4 linked regions of the Saccharomyces cerevisiae S288C genome follow. The protein of the gene in region 1 binds, or shares a complex with, the protein of each later gene. Each region holds a gene or a part of one and is shown in the gene's direction. Other genes may lie near its edges. The genes, in order: COX6, COX1, COX5A and COX4.

Region 1 (4,997 bases):
GACTCATTTGCGGTAAAACCAGACATGAAGACCAAGATGATCTTCATCTATGGTGCTTCTGACCAAGCCGTCCCATCCGTCAGATCCAAGTACCTGTACGATATTTATTTGAAGGCGCAAAATGGTAATAAGGAAAAGGTGTTGGCTTACGAACACCCTGGTGGACATATGGTTCCAAACAAGAAGGACATTATCAGACCAATTGTTGAACAAATAACCTCTTCCTTACAAGAAGCTTCTGAATAAATCGTAGGTTGTTGCTTACCTGCTTTCTAGCTTTTTACTATCACACGCAGGGTGTGTGGAGTGAAATGCTGATCGAGTATGTATATATACATATAAGTACTTTGTATAGAATGAACCACAAGTTTGTAGCATCCTTTCTCTTCTCTTCCATCCTGCGTGCTGCTAACCCCGCCCGGCGCGAAAAATCCACCCGGGGTGCTTTAGCGTGGCTTACGAAGACCTTTTTAAACATACTTATACTCTTTCTCGAAGGAAGAAAATAATGCAGAAGAGAAACAGCAGAAAAAAAAGAAATCATATTAAATTTCAGAATCAGTCTCCTTTTGCTTCTAGTCATTTAACCATCAAACGCGTTTAACCGTTTAGAAAACCCTCTTCAACAACTATTTGTTTTGATACTAATATTAGCACATCTCTATTGCCATTTAACCACTAATTTTCCGTATAGCGTTTATGTTTGATGACGTCCCAAGAATATGAACCTATTCAATGGAGCGATGAATCCCAAACAAATAATGATAGTGTCAACGATGCGTATGCCGACGTGAATACCACTCATGAGTCGCGTCGAAGAACAACTTTGCAGCCAAACTCAACATCCCAGAGCATGATCGGAACATTGAGAAAATATGCTAGGTTCATCGGTCCTGGTTTGATGGTATCTGTATCGTACATGGATCCTGGTAACTATAGTACAGCTGTAGCAGCGGGTTCTGCTCATCGGTACAAGCTTTTATTTTCTGTCTTAGTTTCTAATTTCATGGCTGCTTTTTGGCAGTACCTCTGCGCCAGATTGGGTGCTGTCACTGGCCTAGATCTGGCACAAAATTGTAAGAAACATTTGCCCTTTGGACTTAACATTACTCTTTATATTCTGGCGGAGATGGCAATTATTGCCACAGATCTGGCAGAAGTGGTAGGAACCGCTATTTCTTTGAATATCCTTTTCCATATACCTCTCGCCCTAGGTGTGATACTTACTGTGGTAGACGTTTTAATTGTTCTGCTAGCTTACAAACCTAACGGTTCCATGAAGGGTATCAGAATATTTGAAGCTTTTGTTTCTTTATTGGTGGTTCTTACCGTAGTTTGCTTTACTGTTGAACTGTTTTATGCCAAACTGGGACCTGCCAAAGAAATATTTTCTGGGTTCTTACCCAGTAAAGCCGTTTTTGAAGGTGATGGGTTATACTTAAGTCTGGCAATTCTGGGCGCCACGGTAATGCCTCATTCATTATATTTGGGGTCAGGTGTGGTTCAACCAAGATTAAGAGAGTATGATATCAAAAACGGACATTACTTGCCAGACGCGAATGATATGGATAACAATCACGATAATTACAGGCCATCCTATGAGGCCATCAGTGAAACTCTGCACTTTACTATAACGGAATTACTGATCTCGCTGTTCACGGTGGCATTATTTGTCAATTGTGCCATTCTTATCGTGTCTGGCGCTACACTATACGGGTCCACTCAAAATGCTGAGGAAGCTGACTTATTTTCTATTTACAACTTACTCTGTAGTACTCTTTCCAAGGGAGCGGGAACGGTATTCGTGCTGGCATTGTTGTTTTCAGGACAGAGTGCCGGTATCGTGTGTACGTTGAGTGGACAAATGGTTAGTGAAGGGTTCTTAAATTGGACTGTTTCTCCGGCATTGAGAAGATCCGCCACAAGAGCGGTAGCCATCACGCCTTGTTTGATTTTAGTGCTTGTAGCTGGACGTAGCGGCCTCTCTGGTGCACTAAATGCTTCCCAAGTGGTACTTTCTCTCTTGCTGCCTTTTGTTTCTGCACCTTTACTTTACTTCACTTCAAGCAAGAAGATTATGCGTGTACAGCTTAACCGTACCAAAGAACTTTCAAGAACTACAGACAAAAAACCCGTGGCCGACCGAACCGAAGATGATGAGACCATTGAGCTCGAAGAAATGGGCATAGGCAGCAGCTCACAGGAGCGCAGCTTAGTTTCTCCTGCTCCAGAATACAAAGACATGAGCAATGGAATGATCGTCACCGTGCTCGCAATCATAGTATGGTTGATTATCTCCGGACTGAACTTTTATATGTTACTGGGCTTTACTACGGGCAAAGAAGTACACCTCTAATATAACAATTCTTTAGACTAGTATAAGTATACATTTTATCCAAGAATAATAACAGAAAATTCCAATCAAAAAGTTGGTGTTAGGCTATACTGATGGCCGTATCGCTCCATACGAGCCAATCAGGGCCCCGCGCGTTATTTCCGCCGCTTACAGCTTTCTTTGAATCTCCCTATGAAAAGGGACCTAATTGGTCCGGTCAAAGCATTAATAAAGATCAACAATTGCTCTTGCTTATCAAGGTGCCAGATCTCAAGGTTACCTCATTTCTTTACATTTCATCCACATTTTAGCACACTTATTTATTATTACAATTTGAAAAATTGTATCACTTCTGAGACTTAGTAGCGGAGATAAACAGCCGAACAATTGTATTTGACACATAAACTAATAAATATACAACAATGTTATCAAGGGCCATATTCAGAAATCCAGTTATAAATAGAACTTTATTGAGAGCCAGACCTGGTGCTTATCATGCAACTAGATTGACTAAAAATACGTTTATTCAAAGTAGGAAGTATTCTGACGCACATGATGAAGAAACCTTTGAGGAATTCACCGCAAGATACGAAAAGGAGTTTGATGAAGCCTATGATTTGTTTGAAGTGCAAAGAGTGCTCAACAACTGTTTTTCCTATGATTTAGTTCCTGCTCCTGCTGTTATTGAAAAAGCTTTGAGGGCTGCCAGAAGAGTCAATGACTTACCTACCGCAATTAGAGTATTTGAGGCTTTGAAATACAAGGTGGAGAATGAAGACCAATACAAGGCCTACTTGGATGAATTGAAGGATGTCAGACAAGAATTGGGCGTTCCCTTAAAGGAAGAGCTATTTCCAAGCTCTTCTTAATAATAAGGAAAAAGCTACCACACAACGTCTGTAATTTGTTGTCCTTTTTTTATTTGTGGAAAATTCCTCAATTTGAAATAAGATTCGTATTTATTTTGTAAAACGATTTTAGTTTTTATTTTTTTTTTTTCTTCCCTTTTACCTTATTATTTGTTTTACCCTTTATGGATATTCATCCACTCAGAAACTAATATATCAAAATCAACGATAAGATCACAAGAGGTGAAATAAGAAAAGTAAAAGAAAAATATTTAAATTTAACCATTATGATTTCCACTTTGTTTTCTCTACTCTATTACTTGAACAAACTTTATTTTTGGTAATGAGGGCTGGTCACAGATTACCTTTAATATCCTTTGTTAGTAGCTTTTTTGTGTTCTATTTCAGGAAAGAAGAATGGGAAAAATAATAAAACAATAAATAACTATATAAAAAACAAAAACCTAGAATATACCATTAAAGAATTACTATTCTATTCTGTGCTTCACCGTTGCGTCAATAAATGTGAAGTTGATGTCACTTCATACTAAAAAAATTAAAGACAATTTCCTGAAAAAAATTTTTCCACTGGAGCTCATCGCAAATTTTGAAAAGTAACAAAAAGCGTTTGTATACTGCATAAAGAATAGTGTCTGTTTTATAAGAAATATTAGACAGCAGGCAGATAAACCTACGTTCCAGACTATAAAGTATAAAATGGCTAAAAAGAGTAACTCAAAGAAATCTACGCCTGTAAGTACACCAAGCAAAGAAAAGAAGAAGGTTATTGAAAAGAAATCTTCCACAGCCATTCCTAGGGAAAGAGTTATTAAAGCTGTCAACGAGCTTATAAAATTCACTTCCAAGCCACAAGATGAAAATAATGAAGAAGGAAATAACGGTAAGAAAAACCTATTGGAAGATGATGAAGAAGAATTGAAGAAAGATCTGCAATTAATCGTAGTAAATAATAAATCATTCACCGGTACTTCCAAATCATTCAAATTGAAATTACTAAATGTCAAACATTCGTTTTACAAGCCTTGGAAAGAAGCCAGTGCAACAGCGGTTAAGGATTTCAAAGTTTTATTAATTTTGAAGGATTCTGATATTAAGAAAGTTTCAGAAGATGATTTATTTGATCAATTAGATTCAGAAGGAATCAAGGTTGATGAAATCATTTGCGGGAAAGACTTAAAGACCGTTTACAAGGCATATGAGGCTAGAAACGCTTTTATATCTCAGTTTTCTTTGATTTTGGCTGACGACAGTATAGTTACATCTTTGCCAAAACTTATGGGAGGCAAAGCCTACAACAAAGTAGAAACTACTCCTATATCAATTAGAACACATGCAAATAAGGAATTTTCCTTGACCACTTTGACGAACAATATCAAAAAGGTTTACATGAATCAGTTGCCCGTTAAACTTCCAAGAGGTACCACGTTGAATGTCCATTTGGGTAATTTAGAATGGTTAAGGCCAGAAGAGTTTGTAGATAACGTTGAATTAATTTCTGAACAGTTAATCAAAGCATACCAAATCAGATCCATTTTTATCAAGACCAATAGGTCGCCCGTATTGCCATTATACTATAACCAGGACGTTCTTGATGAACTTGAAGCTAAAAAGGACAAAATCGAAGAAACCCACGAAGATGACATGGTCACCATTGATGGTGTACAAGTTCATTTGTCTACCTTCAACAAGGGTTTGATGGAAATCGCCAATCCTTCCGAATTGGGTTCAATTTTCTCTAAACAAATTAACAATGCAAAAAAGAGATCTTCTAGCGAGCTTGAAAAAGAATCTAG
Region 2 (7,464 bases), on another chromosome or scaffold:
CCGATCGAATCCCCTATTTAATTAAATTAAATTAAATTAAGAAAGAGATAAATTTATATAAAATATTATTTATAATTAATTATAATTAAATTATAATATAATATAATATAAATAATAATATAATAAAAATAAAAATAAAATAATATTAGATTATATTATATAATTTATATAATTTTTTAATAATAATAATAAATAAGTTTATTTATAATTATAAATATAAATATAAATATAAATAAAGAAGGTATTATATTTTATAAAATATAATAATAATACAAAATTTATATTTTAATAAATATTAATATAAGTTTAAAGTTCCGGGGCCCGGCACGGGAGCCGGAACCCCGAAAGGAGAAATAAATAATATATTTATAAAAAATTAAATAAATAAATATTATCTATTTAAAAATAAATATAATATAATATAATATAATAATTCTAAATATAAATAATATTTATTATAATTATTATAATAATTGTATTATTTATTAATAATATATATAATTATATTAAAACTAATATTACATTATTTTGTATATTTAAACAATTAAATTGATTATTCTTATTTGTAATCTTTATTTATTTTATTATATCTTATTAATGATAAATTATAATTATTATTAAAATAATAATTTACTTCTTTTGATATAAAAATAAAATAATATAGTTCCGGGGCCCGGCCACGGGAGCCGGAACCCCGGAAGGAGATAAATATATTATATTTTTATTCCTACCTATTAAAGGTAAAGACTCGATTCTCATAATTAAATTTATATCCTTCGGCCGGATTAATTTATTTTATTTATATTTATATTTATAGTGAATACCTTTTTTAATATTTATTTTTAATATTTATTTTTAATATTTTATTTTTAATAAAATATAATCTTGTAAGTAAGAAAAGAATTTCGGTGATTGGAACCTTGAAAGGATAAATTTCTTATTTATTATAATATTTATATTAATAGTTCCGGGGCCCGGCCACGGGAGCCGGAACCCCGAAAGGAGTATTATTAAACATTTAATATATTATATTAATATTTAATTTAAATGATTAATATATTATTATAATAATATTTATTTTATATTAAAATATTATAATTAATATATATATATTTATTTTAATAATATTATTATTATTATTATTAAAATTATTATTTTTATAAATATATATATATATATATATATATTATTTTTATTCTTATATAAATTATATAAAAAAAATATATATAATATATAATTAATTAATATATATTATTTAAATTATATATTATTTAAAATACTTTTTATATTATATCTTCTTTAAATTAAAATATAATTATTATTTATATTATAATTATTTATGAAATATTATTATTAAAATAAAAAAGAGGTTTAGACTATATATTTATTATTTATAAACTTATTATATTATTTATTATTAATAGTTCCGGGGCCCGGCCACGGGAGCCGGAACCCCGAAAGGAGAAATAAATAAAATAAAAAATAATAAATATTAATATTATTAAATATTATTTATAATAAATATTAATATTATTAAATATTATTCATATTAATAAATTTTATTATTATTTGTAATATATTAAATATTAATAATATATATATTATTTATTATAATGAAAACCTATCCTATATTATCCTATCATATAATATCATATCATATTATATTATATCTTATTATATGATATATAAAGTATTCACTCTATATGAGGTTATGATTATTATATAAATCTTATTTTATTTTTATTTTTATTTGGACTAATAATAATTATAATAATAATTATTGATATGTTCTAATATTAATAAATACATATTTATATTATAATATAAATATTCATTTCTTACTAATTAATAAAAAGTTTTTATATTCATTATAATATAAATATATAAATATATATAAATATTTTAATAATTATAATTATATTAAGATATTATAAATATATATTTATTTTTTTTTATAAAATAAATAAATAAATAAATAATTAATATTTTTATATTATAACTTATTTTTATAATAATAATAAGTATTTTATTTTTTATTATATTATTATTTATATAATTATATATATATTAATTTCAATTTAATTAATTAATTAATTGGTATTTGGCATATAATATCAATTAATTGTAATTCTTATAAGAATTAATTAATTAATATGCTTTTTATATAATTTATACTTTTATATTTCTCCTTCCGGGGTTCCGGCTCCCGTGGCCGGGCCCCGGAACTATTATTATTATTTTTATTTATTTATTATTAAAATATAATAATAAATAGTCCGGCCCGCCCCGCGGGGCGGACGCCGGAGGAGAATTATATTTTTATATAATAATTTATATTTCTATATATATATATATATATTATATATAAATATTATTATATATATTTTTATATATATTATAATTATATTCATTAATATTTTATTATAGTGGTGGGGTCCCAATTATTATTTTCAATAATAATTTATCATGGGACCCGGATATCTTCTTGTTTTTATTTATTATTTTATTAAATTTATTTTAATTATTTATTTATAATTTATATTATACAATTTATTATTTCGTTAATACCTTTATTTATATTATATAATATATTATATTATTATAATATATTTATTGATTATATTAATACATTTAACTAATGTGTGCTCTATATTTATTGAATAGTTTGGTTCTTATCACCCACCCCCTCCCCCTATTACGTCTCCGAGGTCCCGGTTTCGTAAGAAACCGGGACTTATATATTTAATACTAAAAATATAACTACATTACTTTTTTAATATATATAACAATATATATATATATATATATTAATTATATAAAATATAATACTCTATATTAAATATTATTTTTATCAATATTTATTTATATATATAATAATAATAATAATAATCAATATTAATTATTTATATATATAAGATTAATATTATTTAATATATTATGAATAATTTAATTAATAAATCTTTAAATATTATCATAAAAATATAAATTAAATAATTTCTTATTTATAATAAAGAATAATAATATATATAAATATAATAAAGAATGTAAATAATATATATATAATATAATATAATATAAAAAATATATATATATATAAATATATATATAATATATAGATAATAATATTTTTATATAATTTATTTTATTATTAAGTAATAAATAATAAAAAAATCAATATATTAAATAATATATTTATATTAGTTCGGTTTAGTTGGTATTTTGTAATGAGTAAAAAGTAATATATAATATTAAATAATAAGTATTGATATAAGTAATAGATATAATAATAATATTATTAATATTTTATATAAATAATATTAATAATATAGATTATGAAAGAGAGTATTAATATCATTAAATATATATATATGTTATATAATTTAAATGATTTTAATATATATATATATATTATATTATAGATTATGATACATTTATATAAATAATATATATATAAAAATTAATTATACTATTACTTTATAATATAATAATATTTATTTATAAAGATATAAAAGAATTGTTTAAAGTTATAACTAAAATATTATATAGTATTCATTAATAATTAATATTATAAATTCAACTATTGTTATATTTATAAATAGAATAATATATTATTATCCTTTAAGATATAACAATAATTATTTAAATTAAATTAAATTAAATTTAATTAATTTTTTTTTTTAATGAATATAATAATAATAATATTATTAAAATTAATATATAAAAAAAAAGTAAAAATGGTACAAAGATGATTATATTCAACAAATGCAAAAGATATTGCAGTATTATATTTTATGTTAGCTATTTTTAGTGGTATGGCAGGAACAGCAATGTCTTTAATCATTAGATTAGAATTAGCTGCACCTGGTTCACAATATTTACATGGTAATTCACAATTATTTAATGGTGCGCCTCTCAGTGCGTATATTTCGTTGATGCGTCTAGCATTAGTATTATGAATCATCAATAGATACTTAAAACATATGACTAACTCAGTAGGGGCTAACTTTACGGGGACAATAGCATGTCATAAAACACCTATGATTAGTGTAGGTGGAGTTAAGTGTTACATGGTTAGGTTAACGAACTTCTTACAAGTCTTTATCAGGATTACAATTTCCTCTTATCATTTGGATATAGTAAAACAAGTTTGATTATTTTACGTTGAGGTAATCAGATTATGATTCATTGTTTTAGATAGCACAGGCAGTGTGAAAAAGATGAAGGACCTAAATAACACAAAAGGAAATACGAAAAGTGAGGGATCAACTGAAAGAGGAAACTCTGGAGTTGACAGAGGTATAGTAGTACCGAATACTCAAATAAAAATGAGATTTTTAAATCAAGTTAGATACTATTCAGTAAATAATAATTTAAAAATAGGGAAGGATACCAATATTGAGTTATCAAAAGATACAAGTACTTCGGACTTGTTAGAATTTGAGAAATTAGTAATAGATAATATAAATGAGGAAAATATAAATAATAATTTATTAAGTATTATAAAAAACGTAGATATATTAATATTAGCATATAATAGAATTAAGAGTAAACCTGGTAATATAACTCCAGGTACAACATTAGAAACATTAGATGGTATAAATATAATATATTTAAATAAATTATCAAATGAATTAGGAACAGGTAAATTCAAATTTAAACCCATGAGAATAGTTAATATTCCTAAACCTAAAGGTGGTATAAGACCTTTAAGTGTAGGTAATCCAAGAGATAAAATTGTACAAGAAGTTATAAGAATAATTTTAGATACAATTTTTGATAAAAAGATATCAACACATTCACATGGTTTTAGAAAGAATATAAGTTGTCAAACAGCAATTTGAGAAGTTAGAAATATATTTGGTGGAAGTAATTGATTTATTGAAGTAGACTTAAAAAAATGTTTTGATACAATTTCTCATGATTTAATTATTAAAGAATTAAAAAGATATATTTCAGATAAAGGTTTTATTGATTTAGTATATAAATTATTAAGAGCTGGTTATATTGATGAGAAAGGAACTTATCATAAACCTATATTAGGTTTACCTCAAGGATCATTAATTAGTCCTATCTTATGTAATATTGTAATAACATTGGTAGATAATTGATTAGAAGATTATATTAATTTATATAATAAAGGTAAAGTTAAAAAACAACATCCTACATATAAAAAATTATCAAGAATAATTGCAAAAGCTAAAATATTTTCGACAAGATTAAAATTACATAAAGAAAGAGCTAAAGGCCCACTATTTATTTATAATGATCCTAATTTCAAGAGAATAAAATACGTTAGATATGCAGATGATATTTTAATTGGGGTATTAGGTTCAAAAAATGATTGTAAAATAATCAAAAGAGATTTAAACAATTTTTTAAATTCATTAGGTTTAACTATAAATGAAGAAAAAACTTTAATTACTTGTGCAACTGAACTACCAGCAAGATTTTTAGGTTATAATATTTCAATTACACCTTTAAAAAGAATACCTACAGTTACTAAACTAATTAGAGGTAAACTTATTAGAAGTAGAAATACAACTAGACCTATTATTAATGCACCAATTAGAGATATTATCAATAAATTAGCTACTAATGGATATTGTAAGCATAATAAAAATGGTAGAATAGGAGTGCCTACAAGAGTAGGTAGATGACTATATGAAGAACCTAGAACAATTATTAATAATTATAAAGCGTTAGGTAGAGGTATCTTAAATTATTATAAATTAGCTACTAATTATAAAAGATTAAGAGAAAGAATCTATTACGTATTATATTATTCATGTGTATTAACTTTAGCTAGTAAATATAGATTAAAAACAATAAGTAAAACTATTAAAAAATTTGGTTATAATTTAAATATTATTGAAAATGATAAATTAATTGCCAATTTTCCAAGAAATACTTTTGATAATATCAAAAAAATTGAAAATCATGGTATATTTATATATATATCAGAAGCTAAAGTAACTGATCCTTTTGAATATATCGATTCAATTAAATATATATTACCTACAGCTAAAGCTAATTTTAATAAACCTTGTAGTATTTGTAATTCAACTATTGATGTAGAAATACATCATGTTAAACAATTACATAGAGGTATATTAAAAGCACTTAAAGATTATATTCTAGGTAGAATAATTACCATAAACAGAAAACAAATTCCATTATGTAAACAATGTCATATTAAAACACATAAAAATAAATTTAAAAATATAGGACCTGGTATATAAAATCTATTATTAATGATACTCAATATGGAAAGCCGTATGATGGGAAACTATCACGTACGGTTTGGGAAAGGCTCTTTAACACGTGGCAACATAGGTTAATTTGCTATTTCATTTTTAGTAGTTGGTCATGCTGTATTAATGATTTTCTGTGCGCCGTTTCGCTTAATTTATCACTGTATTGAAGTGTTAATTGATAAACATATCTCTGTTTATTCAATTAATGAAAACTTTACCGTATCATTTTGGTTCTGATTATTAGTAGTAACATACATAGTATTTAGATACGTAAACCATATGGCTTACCCAGTTGGGGCCAACTCAACGGGGACAATAGCATGCCATAAAAGCGCTGGAGTAAAACAGCCAGCGCAAGGTAAGAACTGTCCGATGGCTAGGTTAACGAATTCCTGTAAAGAATGTTTAGGGTTCTCATTAACTCCTTCCCACTTGGGGATTGTGATTCATGCTTATGTATTGGAAGAAGAGGTACACGAGTTAACCAAAAATGAATCATTAGCTTTAAGTAAAAGTTGACATTTGGAGGGCTGTACGAGTTCAAATGGAAAATTAAGAAATACGGGATTGTCCGAAAGGGGAAACCCTGGGGATAACGGAGTCTTCATAGTACCCAAATTTAATTTAAATAAAGTGAGATACTTTAGTACTTTATCTAAATTAAATGCAAGGAAGGAAGACAGTTTAGCGTATTTAACAAAGATTAATACTACGGATTTTTCCGAGTTAAATAAATTAATAGAAAATAATCATAATAAACTTGAAACCATTAATACTAGAATTTTAAAATTAATGTCAGATATTAGAATGTTATTAATTGCTTATAATAAAATTAAAAGTAAGAAAGGTAATATATCTAAAGGTTCTAATAATATTACCTTAGATGGGATTAATATTTCATATTTAAATAAATTATCTAAAGATATTAACACTAATATGTTTAAATTTTCTCCGGTTAGAAGAGTTGAAATTCCTAAAACATCTGGAGGATTTAGACCTTTAAGTGTTGGAAATCCTAGAGAAAAAATTGTACAAGAAAGTATGAGAATAATATTAGAAATTATCTATAATAATAGTTTCTCTTATTATTCTCATGGATTTAGACCTAACTTATCTTGTTTAACAGCTATTATTCAATGTAAAAATTATATGCAATACTGTAATTGATTTATTAAAGTAGATTTAAATAAATGCTTTGATACAATTCCAC
Region 3 (4,967 bases), on another chromosome or scaffold:
AGAATGAAACGTGGTCAAAGACACCTATCAAGAACAAACAATAGCATAATGAATGGTAGCATCCATATGAATGGTAACGATGACGTTACCCATTCCAATATCAATAATAACGATATTGTTGGTTACTCACCGCACAACTTTTACTCAAGGAAGTCCCCATTTGTGAAAGTAAAGAATTTTCTTTATCTTGCATTTGTTATATCATCACTATTGATGACAGGATTCATTCTGGGATTTTTATTGGCCACTAATAAAGAACTACAAGATGTAGACGTGGTAGTGATGGATAATGTGATTTCAAGTTCGGACGAGTTGATCTTCGACATCACAGTAAGTGCTTTTAATCCAGGATTCTTCAGTATAAGCGTTTCCCAAGTCGATTTGGACATTTTTGCAAAAAGTTCTTACCTGAAGTGCGATTCTAATGGTGACTGTACAGTAATGGAACAGGAACGGAAAATTTTACAAATAACGACAAATCTTTCGTTAGTTGAAGAGAGTGCTAATAATGATATTAGTGGTGGGAACATAGAGACGGTATTACTAGGAACCGCTAAAAAACTAGAGACACCATTAAAGTTCCAGGGCGGCGCATTTAATAGGAACTACGATGTGTCAGTCTCGAGTGTCAAGCTTTTAAGTCCTGGGTCTCGTGAAGCCAAGCACGAAAACGACGATGATGACGATGATGATGGCGACGATGGTGACGATGAAAACAATACTAATGAAAGACAATACAAAAGCAAACCAAATGCTAGAGATGACAAAGAAGATGATACTAAAAAATGGAAGCTACTAATCAAGCATGATTACGAATTGATAGTCCGTGGAAGCATGAAGTATGAGGTGCCCTTTTTCAATACGCAAAAATCTACGGCTATTCAAAAGGATTCCATGGTCCATCCTGGTAAGAAGTGAGTGTTAAGAATGTAGCTTTTTCGTCAAAGCTGGGTATTTTTCTTTTTATAGCGCAGGAGCGGAAGGCAATTTCCAAAACAGGAATGTACTTTCCAAAAAAGGAAAATGTAGTTTGTTTTTTGATGTTTTTTTCTCTTTGACTATTTCAAATTTAGAAGTGAAAAAATACAAAAATGTTACATAGGATTCGATACAGTGTAATATATCATTATTATTACTTTTAAATAAAGCGTTTAGTAAACAAGAGTGAGGGTTATGCAACTCGTTTAGTAAACATTCTTTTTTTTTTCTTCATTTAAGTATAAGACAACAATAGTAGCGGAAGCGATAGTAATACATTTGGTAGCGATAAGTGCACATGCAATTTCACTCAGATAAGCAGCATTTGGACAGTAAAACCGACATCGATTTCAAGCCAAACTCACCGCGTTCCTTACAAAATAGGAATACCAAAAATTTATCTTTAGATATAGCAGCACTCCATCCATTAATGGAATTCTCATCGCCAAGCCAAGATGTGCCAGGTTCAGTAAAATTCCCATCGCCGACACCTTTGAATCTATTTATGAAGCCCAAACCTATTGTGTTGGAGAAATGTCCACCAAAAGTAAGTCCAAGGCCAACGCCACCATCGCTGTCGATGAGGCGAAGCGAGGCCTCTATATACACACTACCAACATCTTTGAAGAACCGAACTGTTTCTCCAAGCGTGTATACAAAATCATCCACAGTATCGTCTATCAGTAAGCTGTCATCATCATCACCGTTATCGTCATTTTCAGAAAAACCTCATCTGAATAGAGTCCATTCATTATCCGTGAAAACTAAAGACTTGAAGTTGAAGGGAATTAGAGGACGTTCTCAAACGATCTCAGGGTTAGAGACATCCACGCCAATTTCTAGTACTCGTGAAGGTACTTTAGATAGTACGGATGTCAACAGATTTTCTAACCAAAAGAATATGCAAACAACATTGATTTTCCCGGAGGAGGACTCGGATCTGAATATTGATATGGTGCATGCAGAGATTTATCAACGAACGGTTTATTTAGATGGACCATTGCTGGTACTGCCGCCTAATTTGTATCTATATTCAGAACCCAAACTAGAAGATATATTATCGTTTGATTTAGTCATTAATGTTGCCAAAGAAATACCGAACCTGGAGTTTTTAATACCGCCGGAAATGGCACATAAAATAAAATATTACCATATTGAATGGACACACACATCCAAGATCGTCAAGGACTTATCCCGATTGACACGCATTATACATACCGCTCATTCGCAAGGCAAGAAAATACTCGTACACTGTCAGTGTGGAGTATCAAGATCGGCGTCATTGATTGTGGCGTATATCATGCGATATTATGGCTTGAGTTTAAATGATGCATACAATAAGCTGAAAGGTGTTGCTAAGGATATAAGTCCAAACATGGGTCTCATCTTCCAACTTATGGAATGGGGAACCATGTTGTCCAAGAACTCACCGGGCGAAGAAGGAGAGACTGTTCACATGCCTGAGGAAGATGACATCGGAAACAACGAAGTTTCCTCGACTACGAAGTCCTACTCTTCTGCGTCCTTTAGAAGTTTTCCCATGGTAACGAATCTATCATCGTCGCCGAATGACAGTTCTGTCAATTCTTCGGAAGTAACGCCAAGAACTCCTGCTACGTTGACTGGAGCAAGGACCGCACTGGCCACAGAACGCGGGGAAGATGATGAGCACTGTAAAAGTTTGTCTCAACCCGCAGATTCACTGGAAGCTTCTGTGGACAACGAATCAATATCTACTGCCCCGGAACAGATGATGTTTCTTCCTTAAGGGACAGCATCTCCCAAAAGAATCTTTATGACTATCAGATCTGCAGGCAGACCGCCTCCCTACGCTTCTAAATAGAATGTACTTAGCACTTCTGCCTACATAGTAATTATTCATCATTGTAAGTGTCACATTGCAAAAATCGTCCAATAGACGTTTTCCTCGTTTGTGATTGGCCCTACGTTTTGCGCCGATACAAGCGGCGGCGAAAAGTTAAAAAGAACAATCAATTAAATAAGAACCATCAGTCCTCGTATTTTGTCTTCTGTTTGCAAGCAATGCACCAAACACAAGATCAACTAAGAACGCATCTACAATGTTACGTAACACTTTTACTAGAGCTGGTGGACTATCACGTATTACATCCGTAAGATTCGCTCAAACACATGCTCTTTCCAACGCTGCTGTAATGGATCTGCAATCCAGATGGGAGAACATGCCCTCCACTGAGCAGCAGGATATTGTCAGTAAGTTGAGTGAACGTCAAAAATTACCATGGGCACAGCTTACTGAGCCTGAAAAGCAAGCTGTGTGGTACATTTCTTACGGAGAATGGGGCCCAAGAAGACCTGTATTGAATAAGGGTGATTCCAGTTTTATTGCCAAAGGTGTTGCTGCAGGCCTACTATTTTCAGTGGGACTTTTTGCTGTCGTCAGGATGGCGGGTGGCCAAGACGCAAAGACCATGAATAAGGAGTGGCAGCTAAAGAGTGACGAATATTTGAAGTCGAAGAATGCTAATCCTTGGGGTGGTTATTCTCAGGTCCAATCTAAATGAACAGGCCAGAAATTTTGAAAGGAAATCAATAGGGGTTAACGATTGTCATGGTTTTTTCAGCTAGTCTGTGACCTGTACGAAAGTGAATATCTTATTACATTATAAGTGTATCCATGGGCATCCGCCCAATACAATGCCAACATATCAAACATAAAATTGGCTGATTGCCACTCTCACATTTTTTCTTTATTTATTTACTCAAATTTTGTAATTTTTTGTTAGACATATAATTTTATATCATTATTCTTATTATTCTTATATTTAAGGGAACCCCCCTGGAATGAAATAAGCTAATATAGTATGAGGGAATCCTGTATAAATGGGTTTACCTTGTTATTCTATGCCTCCCTTTCAAAGACGTATTTCTTAAAAACTTCTCCATTTGGTTGAATACTATGAAAAAAAAAAAATCAACTAGAATAGATATGGAAGATAAAAATGTGTAACAAAAAAGAAGAAAAGAGCTGGAGGTATGACAATAGCGCCAATGGCAAACGATTTAGAAGATTTTGAGTCTCTGCTGGAGCCTGATTTTGATGCTAAACAATTTGGTAATGACTTACTGAAGGCTACTAATAACAATGACACAACCATTTTAGACCTTAACACGCCTCTTAAAAAGCTAAACTATGATCTACATGAGATTGACTCTAGAATAGACCAATTGATGAATAGCAACCCATTGGAGATAATAGAGTTAATTTACAAAAATGAACACGTCAATTCAACCATAGTTGGTGAGTTGAAACCAAGTTTGGGATATATGAATATGTCGTACGATAGACTAAAGAATCAAGTTCTAGATCCTTATGAAAGAGCGAGGAAAGTCCAACTAGCGTTGAGTAAAGTTTACCAAACATCTTTTCTCTTGCGCGGAGCATTGCTTTATATTCATTTATCAAACAAATTAAACGCACTGTCTAAAACAGCCCAACTAAGCACATCAACAGCTATTAATTTAGCCTCCTTACACTACCAACTTGAAATTACTTTGGAAGAAAATAAAAATCTAAAATCCTTGCGGAAAATTAAACAATTAGATCAGGACATTGTTTCCCCCAACAAAAGAGAGTTAATAACATTTTTGTCTTTACAAATGTGTAAAGAGTGCTTGAACTCTATTAAAATCAAATCGAACAAAGAAATAATATCTCAGCTGGCCTACTCCTTATATCTACTTTCATCTCAAGAATTCGAGTCTGCAATAAACAAGATTGTACTATCTAATGTTACAATGAGCTCACAAATCCTATCAAAAATTTTAAATTCTATCAGGATGTTTCCTGATGCGTTCAATGAAGTTGTTGAAAAAGGTTATAACATCTACATTTTAGAAACACTACTACAGAACATCAAAACGGATAATGTTACGAATTCCTCGAGATCTATTGCTGCTAATAAATCACGCCTTGGCAATCTTTTATCAGAATATACCTCAATGAAGAG
Region 4 (5,315 bases), on another chromosome or scaffold:
TTCGTCAATGCATACGTTTCAAAGGGAAATTTGGACTCTTCCACCCGAAAGGGCAACTGGATGAGTTTTTTTTCATTATGCTATAGTATTACGGCTACTTGGGGGTCTATTACAGCAGACTATTATATATTGTTCCCAGAAGATACACCATATATTCAAATTTTTTGCCTAACGTTTTTTGGAACATTTTTGCCTACCTGTTTCGTCGGAATCTTAGGTCTCTTACTAGCTTCTGTTGCCATGTCGTATAAGCCTTGGTCAGTCGAGTACGATTCCCATGGAATGGGTGGTCTACTTTGGGCAGGTTTTCAGCGTTGGAACGGCTTCGGAAAGTTCTGCGTGGTAGTACTGGTATTCAGTTTGGTATCCAACAACATCATCAATACGTATTCGGCAGCATTCTCCATCCAACTTTCTAGTGTGTTTTGTGCAAAAATCCCTCGCTGGTTCTGGTCTATTGTTTGTACTATAATTTGTTTGGTATGCGCATTAATAGGTCGTAATCATTTTAGTACTATTTTGGGAAATTTCCTACCAATGATAGGCTACTGGATTAGCATGTACTTTATCTTATTATTCGAAGAGAATTTAGTATTCAGAAGGTTTTTCTTACATTTGTACACCAAAGAGTTTCCTACAGTTACAGGAGAAATAAATGGACCGGAACTTGTTGGATCTTCAAAAGAAGTGGAGAAAGATGCAGTTACTAATATCCATTTGTTAAAAAGAAAACATAAGGTGACTAAACATCGTTACAATTGGGACAAATGGGAAGATTATGAGGTTTTAACGCACGGTTATGCAGCAACATTTGCGTTTATTGTAGGAGTTGCTGGTGTGGTAGTTGGTATGGCGCAAGCCTATTGGATTGGCCCAATTGCTGCCAAATTTGGTGAATATGGTGGTGATGTCGCAATGTGGTTAAGTATGGCGTTCTCAGGTGTTGTATACCCTCCTTGTAGATACTTAGAGCTACGTAAATTTGGTCGTTAATTGAAATGACATAAGTATATATTAAAACTACGGTGCAGCGGCAAACTTTAGTTTAGATAATATTGGCAGGTAGATTCATGGTATGTTAAATTACGCTCAGGGAGGATATTTTTTTGTACACATTATCTTTTCACATGAAAATCTAAGCCTGGTGGACAATTGAAATCATCGAGTGATATACTGACACTTTGAACAGTAGCACAAATCGTTTAATTTGCTGTCACGATCTAAGTTTTCTGTCAGCTGACTGTCCACCAATAAGATCAGCGGATTCCAAAGGCGTCCTTCGAAAAAGCGATATCTCCCATCTTGGTTAGTAGCAAATAAAGGGAAGAGAAAATAAGACACACTCAAGGATAAAATACTTCGCTTCTTCCAAGTATAAACACAGGAAAGAAAGATATACGAAGATTAGAATTTTTTTCATACTTTTTACAAAACATTTTTTTGTACTTAGGCACGCTAATTGCGTAAAAATTAGCATAAACAGGAAATAAGATTATTTTGAAATGTATGTTATAATCCTCTTATTGAAAAATACATGAGATGTAGGAGAAGAACTACCAGGAAAGAAGATATTTAACAGATCGAACGAAACGGAAAAGAACTAAGAGAAAACAAATCTGGATTTGACTTTAAGAAAAAATTTATTTGCAAGTTTAACTCGTTCCCTGCTTTTCTATTTGGCTTGAGACGATAATTGCATAATTGTCCAAATTGTCCATCATATAATGAAGAATTCGATGCGAAATATTCCCTGTCACTTTCCTTTAGTCAACGTATTCTTCTCCCTGAAGAAACAGTATACTAACAATACTCACCCATTTCGATTTTGATGTTGCCATACAAATAGATAACAAGCACAATGCTTTCACTACGTCAATCTATAAGATTTTTCAAGCCAGCCACAAGAACTTTGTGTAGCTCTAGATATCTGCTTCAGCAAAAACCCGTGGTGAAAACTGCCCAAAACTTAGCAGAAGTTAATGGTCCAGAAACTTTGATTGGTCCTGGTGCTAAAGAGGGTACCGTTCCAACAGACCTAGATCAAGAAACTGGTTTAGCTAGGTTAGAATTATTGGGTAAATTAGAGGGTATCGATGTTTTCGACACCAAACCATTAGATTCGTCCAGGAAGGGTACCATGAAAGATCCGATCATCATTGAATCTTATGATGATTATCGTTATGTCGGTTGTACGGGTTCTCCCGCTGGTTCACATACTATTATGTGGTTAAAACCAACTGTTAACGAAGTCGCCAGATGCTGGGAATGTGGTTCTGTTTACAAACTAAACCCTGTTGGTGTTCCAAATGATGACCACCATCACTAATCTTATCATTCAAGTTGCCCTTCTGTTTCTCTTTTACTTTTTACCTTCTTCTTTATTTATATTTTTTTTTTTGGAAACCTAGCGAATATTCTTACCAGGTCTGAGCTTTTACACACGTCATGTTAACAAAGTTCCACAAGAAAGTTCTTTGCAGGAAGGTTAAGGCGAACGCTTTGCTCTATCTATAATGAAGAGCCAAAAAATACATAACCAAAAAGATCGAGAAAAGGTCGAGATATATTTTTATTTAAAAATTCTTATTAATATTAGTACTATTCATGTCATAACTGATTACTATTTCTATCTCTGTCAGAGATGGCTAGCTAGAGGTTGTTGCGAAGTTACTTCCAAAAGATTCTAGACTGTGCTTACAGCATCCATACACCCACCCATACATACTGATTTCTTTTTTTAAAGACGTCGATTTTTCGAAAAAAGTAAATTCTCGGCACAGGGAGTTGAATTGAACTTCCCTGCCCCGACGGTAAGCAGCTTACCGGTATTGCTTCGTTCTCCTTGGGAGATGTTCTCGGCTCTGGAAGGAAAAAACCTTCGTGGGGGGAGGGCTCATATCCAGTAACATAGGCGGAACTCGAAGTGTCAGCTTACACCGCTTCGTTCTCATTGAGTGTTGAGGGATTACTTGGTATTTGAAATACCTACTAGATTTAATGTTCGTTATAGTAAATGATTTAATTTGTTCGCTATTACAGATAAAAGAACCATAGTCTTAAGTAGTATGTTAACGACACAAAAGTGTGAAAGTAGAGAAGGGAAGAACGATGAGATCTTTGAATTGGGAGAAAGTAATAGTGACAAGATATTATTAAAACATGGCAAATGTAACTTGTTTTCTGAAAGGAAACCAGTTAATCACTAGAAGTGTGCCAATCATGAGTTCACACTAACTAAAGAAAAAGAAGGAAGTCGCCCATCGTATGCAATGTACTTATTATTGAAGAATATTGTACCGAGAAAATTTCAAATGTTACGTAAATATCTCCTTCCCTTTTTGCCACGATCATTTTAAAAAAATTGAGAAGTTACTAACTAATTATTTTAACTCTTTGCAAACCTGCAATACTCGTGATGAATATTTAATTAGATCATTCAAAATGCCAAAGAAGAGAGCTTCCAACGGTAGAAACAAGAAAGGTAGAGGTCACGTCAAACCAGTCAGATGTGTCAACTGTTCCAAGTCTATTCCAAAGGATAAGGCTATCAAGAGAATGGCTATCAGAAACATTGTTGAAGCCGCTGCCGTCAGAGATTTGTCCGAAGCTTCTGTCTACCCTGAATACGCTTTGCCAAAGACTTACAACAAGTTACACTACTGTGTTTCTTGTGCTATTCACGCCAGAATTGTCAGAGTCAGATCCAGAGAAGACAGAAAGAACAGAGCTCCACCTCAAAGACCAAGATTCAACAGAGAAAACAAGGTTTCCCCTGCTGATGCCGCCAAGAAGGCTTTATAACTTGATTAATATAGGTGAAACATAAGTAAATTTTTCTACTATTTCTAATCAATAAAAAATAACCATTACAATAGTTTTCTATTAAATATGTTAATGTTTCAAGTATGTTCAACATCAAATATTACTATCGTCACCTTCCACGAATATAATTTGATACGAAGTATAATTTTTTTGATTTTTTTTTCGCCTCCCTTTCTTCCCTTTAATGAGATATTGAAAAAAACTGTCTGAAGTTAATTATTAACTATGAGCGGAATGCTATCTGTATATATTGCATTGGGTTAGACAATAATCGTTTTACTCAGATTTATATCAGATAGGAAAACGACCAGTAACTATTTCTATTCCGGCACGGCATAAACGTTTTTTTTTTGAGACAATTGGCATATACTCCCCCCGCGCACGTCAATAGATCCTTAACTAAGTAGATTTTTTTTGTTTTTTTCCTTCCTTTTTTCTCTTTTCCATCCAATTTTGCCTAACATTTCCCGTCAAAGATAAAGGGAGTTTGCACAAGACAAGACTATTACGTTAGAGAACTTTCCACGAAGAGACTGGAAGAATTGAAAATTGAATATACAAACGCATTCTAGAAGAATTCGATTACGTCAATTAGGCTCTCTTCTATATTTTAGTTCACCCTTTTTTCGTCCTGTTTCGATTTTTATTCCTATCAGAGGGTGAATAAGGCAGCTTAATACGATTACCCCCACTCCACCAACATATTAAGAAAGGGAAAACTAGTGTTTCTATAAACTGTAAACCTCATAAAATCTAGCCAACATATCGAGGTCAAACTGGAGAGATCTTACGCATAAAGAAATATAATATAGCGCACAATGGCACAAAACAATTTTGATTTTAAATTCAGCCAATGTTTTGGTGATAAAGCAGATATTGTGGTGACAGAGGCGGATCTAATTACAGCTGTAGAATTTGACTATACTGGAAATTATCTGGCCACTGGTGATAAAGGTGGCCGTGTGGTACTTTTTGAAAGAAGTAATAGTAGACATTGCGAATATAAGTTTTTAACAGAGTTTCAAAGTCATGACGCAGAATTTGATTATTTAAAATCCTTAGAAATTGAAGAGAAGATAAATGAAATCAAATGGTTACGACCAACTCAAAGATCACACTTTCTTTTGAGCACAAATGATAAAACTATAAAACTTTGGAAAGTTTATGAGAAAAATATAAAATTGGTAAGCCAGAACAACTTAACAGAAGGGGTTACGTTTGCGAAAAAAGGCAAGCCCGATAACCATAACAGTAGAGGAGGCTCCGTGAGGGCTGTATTATCTTTACAATCGCTGAAACTGCCTCAATTATCACAGCATGACAAAATCATTGCTGCCACCCCAAAGCGTATATATAGTAATGCACATACCTATCACATTAATTCGATATCGTTGAATTCTGATCAGGAAACATTTTTAAGTGCTGACGACTTGAGAATCAATTTATGGAATCTGGACATACCAGATCAGAGCTTCAACATCGTAGATATCAAG

The links.
Region 2: the proteins of COX6 (region 1) and COX1 are in contact, whole or in part, in a cryo-EM structure (PDB 8DH6), measured with the Saccharomyces cerevisiae proteins. Residues at the interface, in NP_011918.1 of Saccharomyces cerevisiae: Leu66 (codon at 2,953), Phe67 (codon at 2,956), Gln70 (codon at 2,965), Leu73 (codon at 2,974), Asn74 (codon at 2,977), Arg106 (codon at 3,073), Glu109 (codon at 3,082), Ala110 (codon at 3,085), Tyr113 (codon at 3,094); in NP_009305.1 of Saccharomyces cerevisiae: Asp496, Phe497, Val498, Glu499, Ser500, Ile503, Leu506, Asn507.
Region 3: the proteins of COX6 (region 1) and COX5A are in contact, whole or in part, in a cryo-EM structure (PDB 7Z10), measured with the Saccharomyces cerevisiae proteins. Residues at the interface, in NP_011918.1 of Saccharomyces cerevisiae: Gln70 (codon at 2,965), Ala95 (codon at 3,040), Arg96 (codon at 3,043), Asn99 (codon at 3,052), Asp100 (codon at 3,055), Leu101 (codon at 3,058), Pro102 (codon at 3,061), Thr103 (codon at 3,064), Ala104 (codon at 3,067), Ile105 (codon at 3,070), Arg106 (codon at 3,073), Leu135 (codon at 3,160), Gly136 (codon at 3,163), Val137 (codon at 3,166), Pro138 (codon at 3,169), Lys140 (codon at 3,175), Glu142 (codon at 3,181), Leu143 (codon at 3,184), Phe144 (codon at 3,187); in NP_014346.1 of Saccharomyces cerevisiae: Gln35 (codon at 3,162), Gln57 (codon at 3,228), Lys58 (codon at 3,231), Leu59 (codon at 3,234), Pro60 (codon at 3,237), Trp61 (codon at 3,240), Ala62 (codon at 3,243), Leu64 (codon at 3,249), Glu66 (codon at 3,255), Lys69 (codon at 3,264), Gln70 (codon at 3,267), Val72 (codon at 3,273), Trp73 (codon at 3,276), Ser76 (codon at 3,285), Tyr77 (codon at 3,288), Arg83 (codon at 3,306).
Region 4: the proteins of COX6 (region 1) and COX4 are in contact, whole or in part, in a cryo-EM structure (PDB 8DH6), measured with the Saccharomyces cerevisiae proteins. Residues at the interface, in NP_011918.1 of Saccharomyces cerevisiae: Tyr64 (codon at 2,947), Asp65 (codon at 2,950), Phe67 (codon at 2,956), Glu68 (codon at 2,959), Gln70 (codon at 2,965), Arg71 (codon at 2,968), Asn74 (codon at 2,977), Asn75 (codon at 2,980); in NP_011328.1 of Saccharomyces cerevisiae: Lys91 (codon at 2,129), Thr93 (codon at 2,135), Met94 (codon at 2,138), Arg133 (codon at 2,255), Trp135 (codon at 2,261), Glu136 (codon at 2,264), Cys137 (codon at 2,267), Gly138 (codon at 2,270), Val140 (codon at 2,276).

Annotation. Positions count from the first base shown.
Region 1 is NC_001140.6:206,948-211,944, forward strand, and holds COX6 (cytochrome c oxidase subunit VI), read left to right. Parts: upstream 1-2,757; coding exon 2,758-3,204; downstream 3,205-4,997. Other genes in the region: FSH1 (putative serine hydrolase), read left to right, coding at 1-246; divalent metal ion transporter SMF2, read left to right, coding at 707-2,356; YHR050W-A (uncharacterized protein), read left to right, coding at 2,528-2,698; CIC1 (Cic1p), read left to right, coding at 3,901-4,997. UniProt on the Saccharomyces cerevisiae protein: Component of the cytochrome c oxidase, the last enzyme in the mitochondrial electron transport chain which drives oxidative phosphorylation.
Region 2 is NC_001224.1:10,084-17,547, forward strand, and holds the start of COX1 (cytochrome c oxidase subunit 1), read left to right. Parts: upstream 1-3,734; coding exon 3,735-3,903; coding exon of another isoform or gene 3,904-6,239; intron 6,240-6,351; coding exon 6,352-6,387; coding exon of another isoform or gene 6,388-7,464. Other genes in the region: intron-encoded reverse transcriptase aI2, read left to right, coding at 3,735-3,903, 6,352-7,464; AI5_ALPHA (intron-encoded DNA endonuclease aI5 alpha), read left to right, coding at 3,735-3,903, 6,352-6,387; intron-encoded DNA endonuclease aI4, read left to right, coding at 3,735-3,903, 6,352-6,387; intron-encoded DNA endonuclease aI3, read left to right, coding at 3,735-3,903, 6,352-6,387; intron-encoded reverse transcriptase aI1, read left to right, coding at 3,735-6,239. UniProt on the Saccharomyces cerevisiae protein: Component of the cytochrome c oxidase, the last enzyme in the mitochondrial electron transport chain which drives oxidative phosphorylation.
Region 3 is NC_001146.8:528,666-533,632, forward strand, and holds COX5A (cytochrome c oxidase subunit Va), read left to right. Parts: upstream 1-3,059; coding exon 3,060-3,521; downstream 3,522-4,967. Other genes in the region: VAC7 (Vac7p), read left to right, coding at 1-918; tyrosine/serine/threonine protein phosphatase MSG5, read left to right, coding at 1,277-2,746; Golgi transport complex subunit COG5, read left to right, coding at 3,994-4,967. UniProt on the Saccharomyces cerevisiae protein: Component of the cytochrome c oxidase, the last enzyme in the mitochondrial electron transport chain which drives oxidative phosphorylation.
Region 4 is NC_001139.9:146,715-152,029, reverse strand, and holds COX4 (cytochrome c oxidase subunit IV), read left to right. Parts: upstream 1-1,858; coding exon 1,859-2,326; downstream 2,327-5,315. Other genes in the region: TPN1 (Tpn1p), read left to right, coding at 1-993; YGL188C-A (uncharacterized protein), read left to right, coding at 3,066-3,206; 40S ribosomal protein eS26 RPS26A, read left to right, coding at 3,442-3,801; protein phosphatase 2A regulatory subunit CDC55, read left to right, coding at 4,641-5,315. UniProt on the Saccharomyces cerevisiae protein: Component of the cytochrome c oxidase, the last enzyme in the mitochondrial electron transport chain which drives oxidative phosphorylation.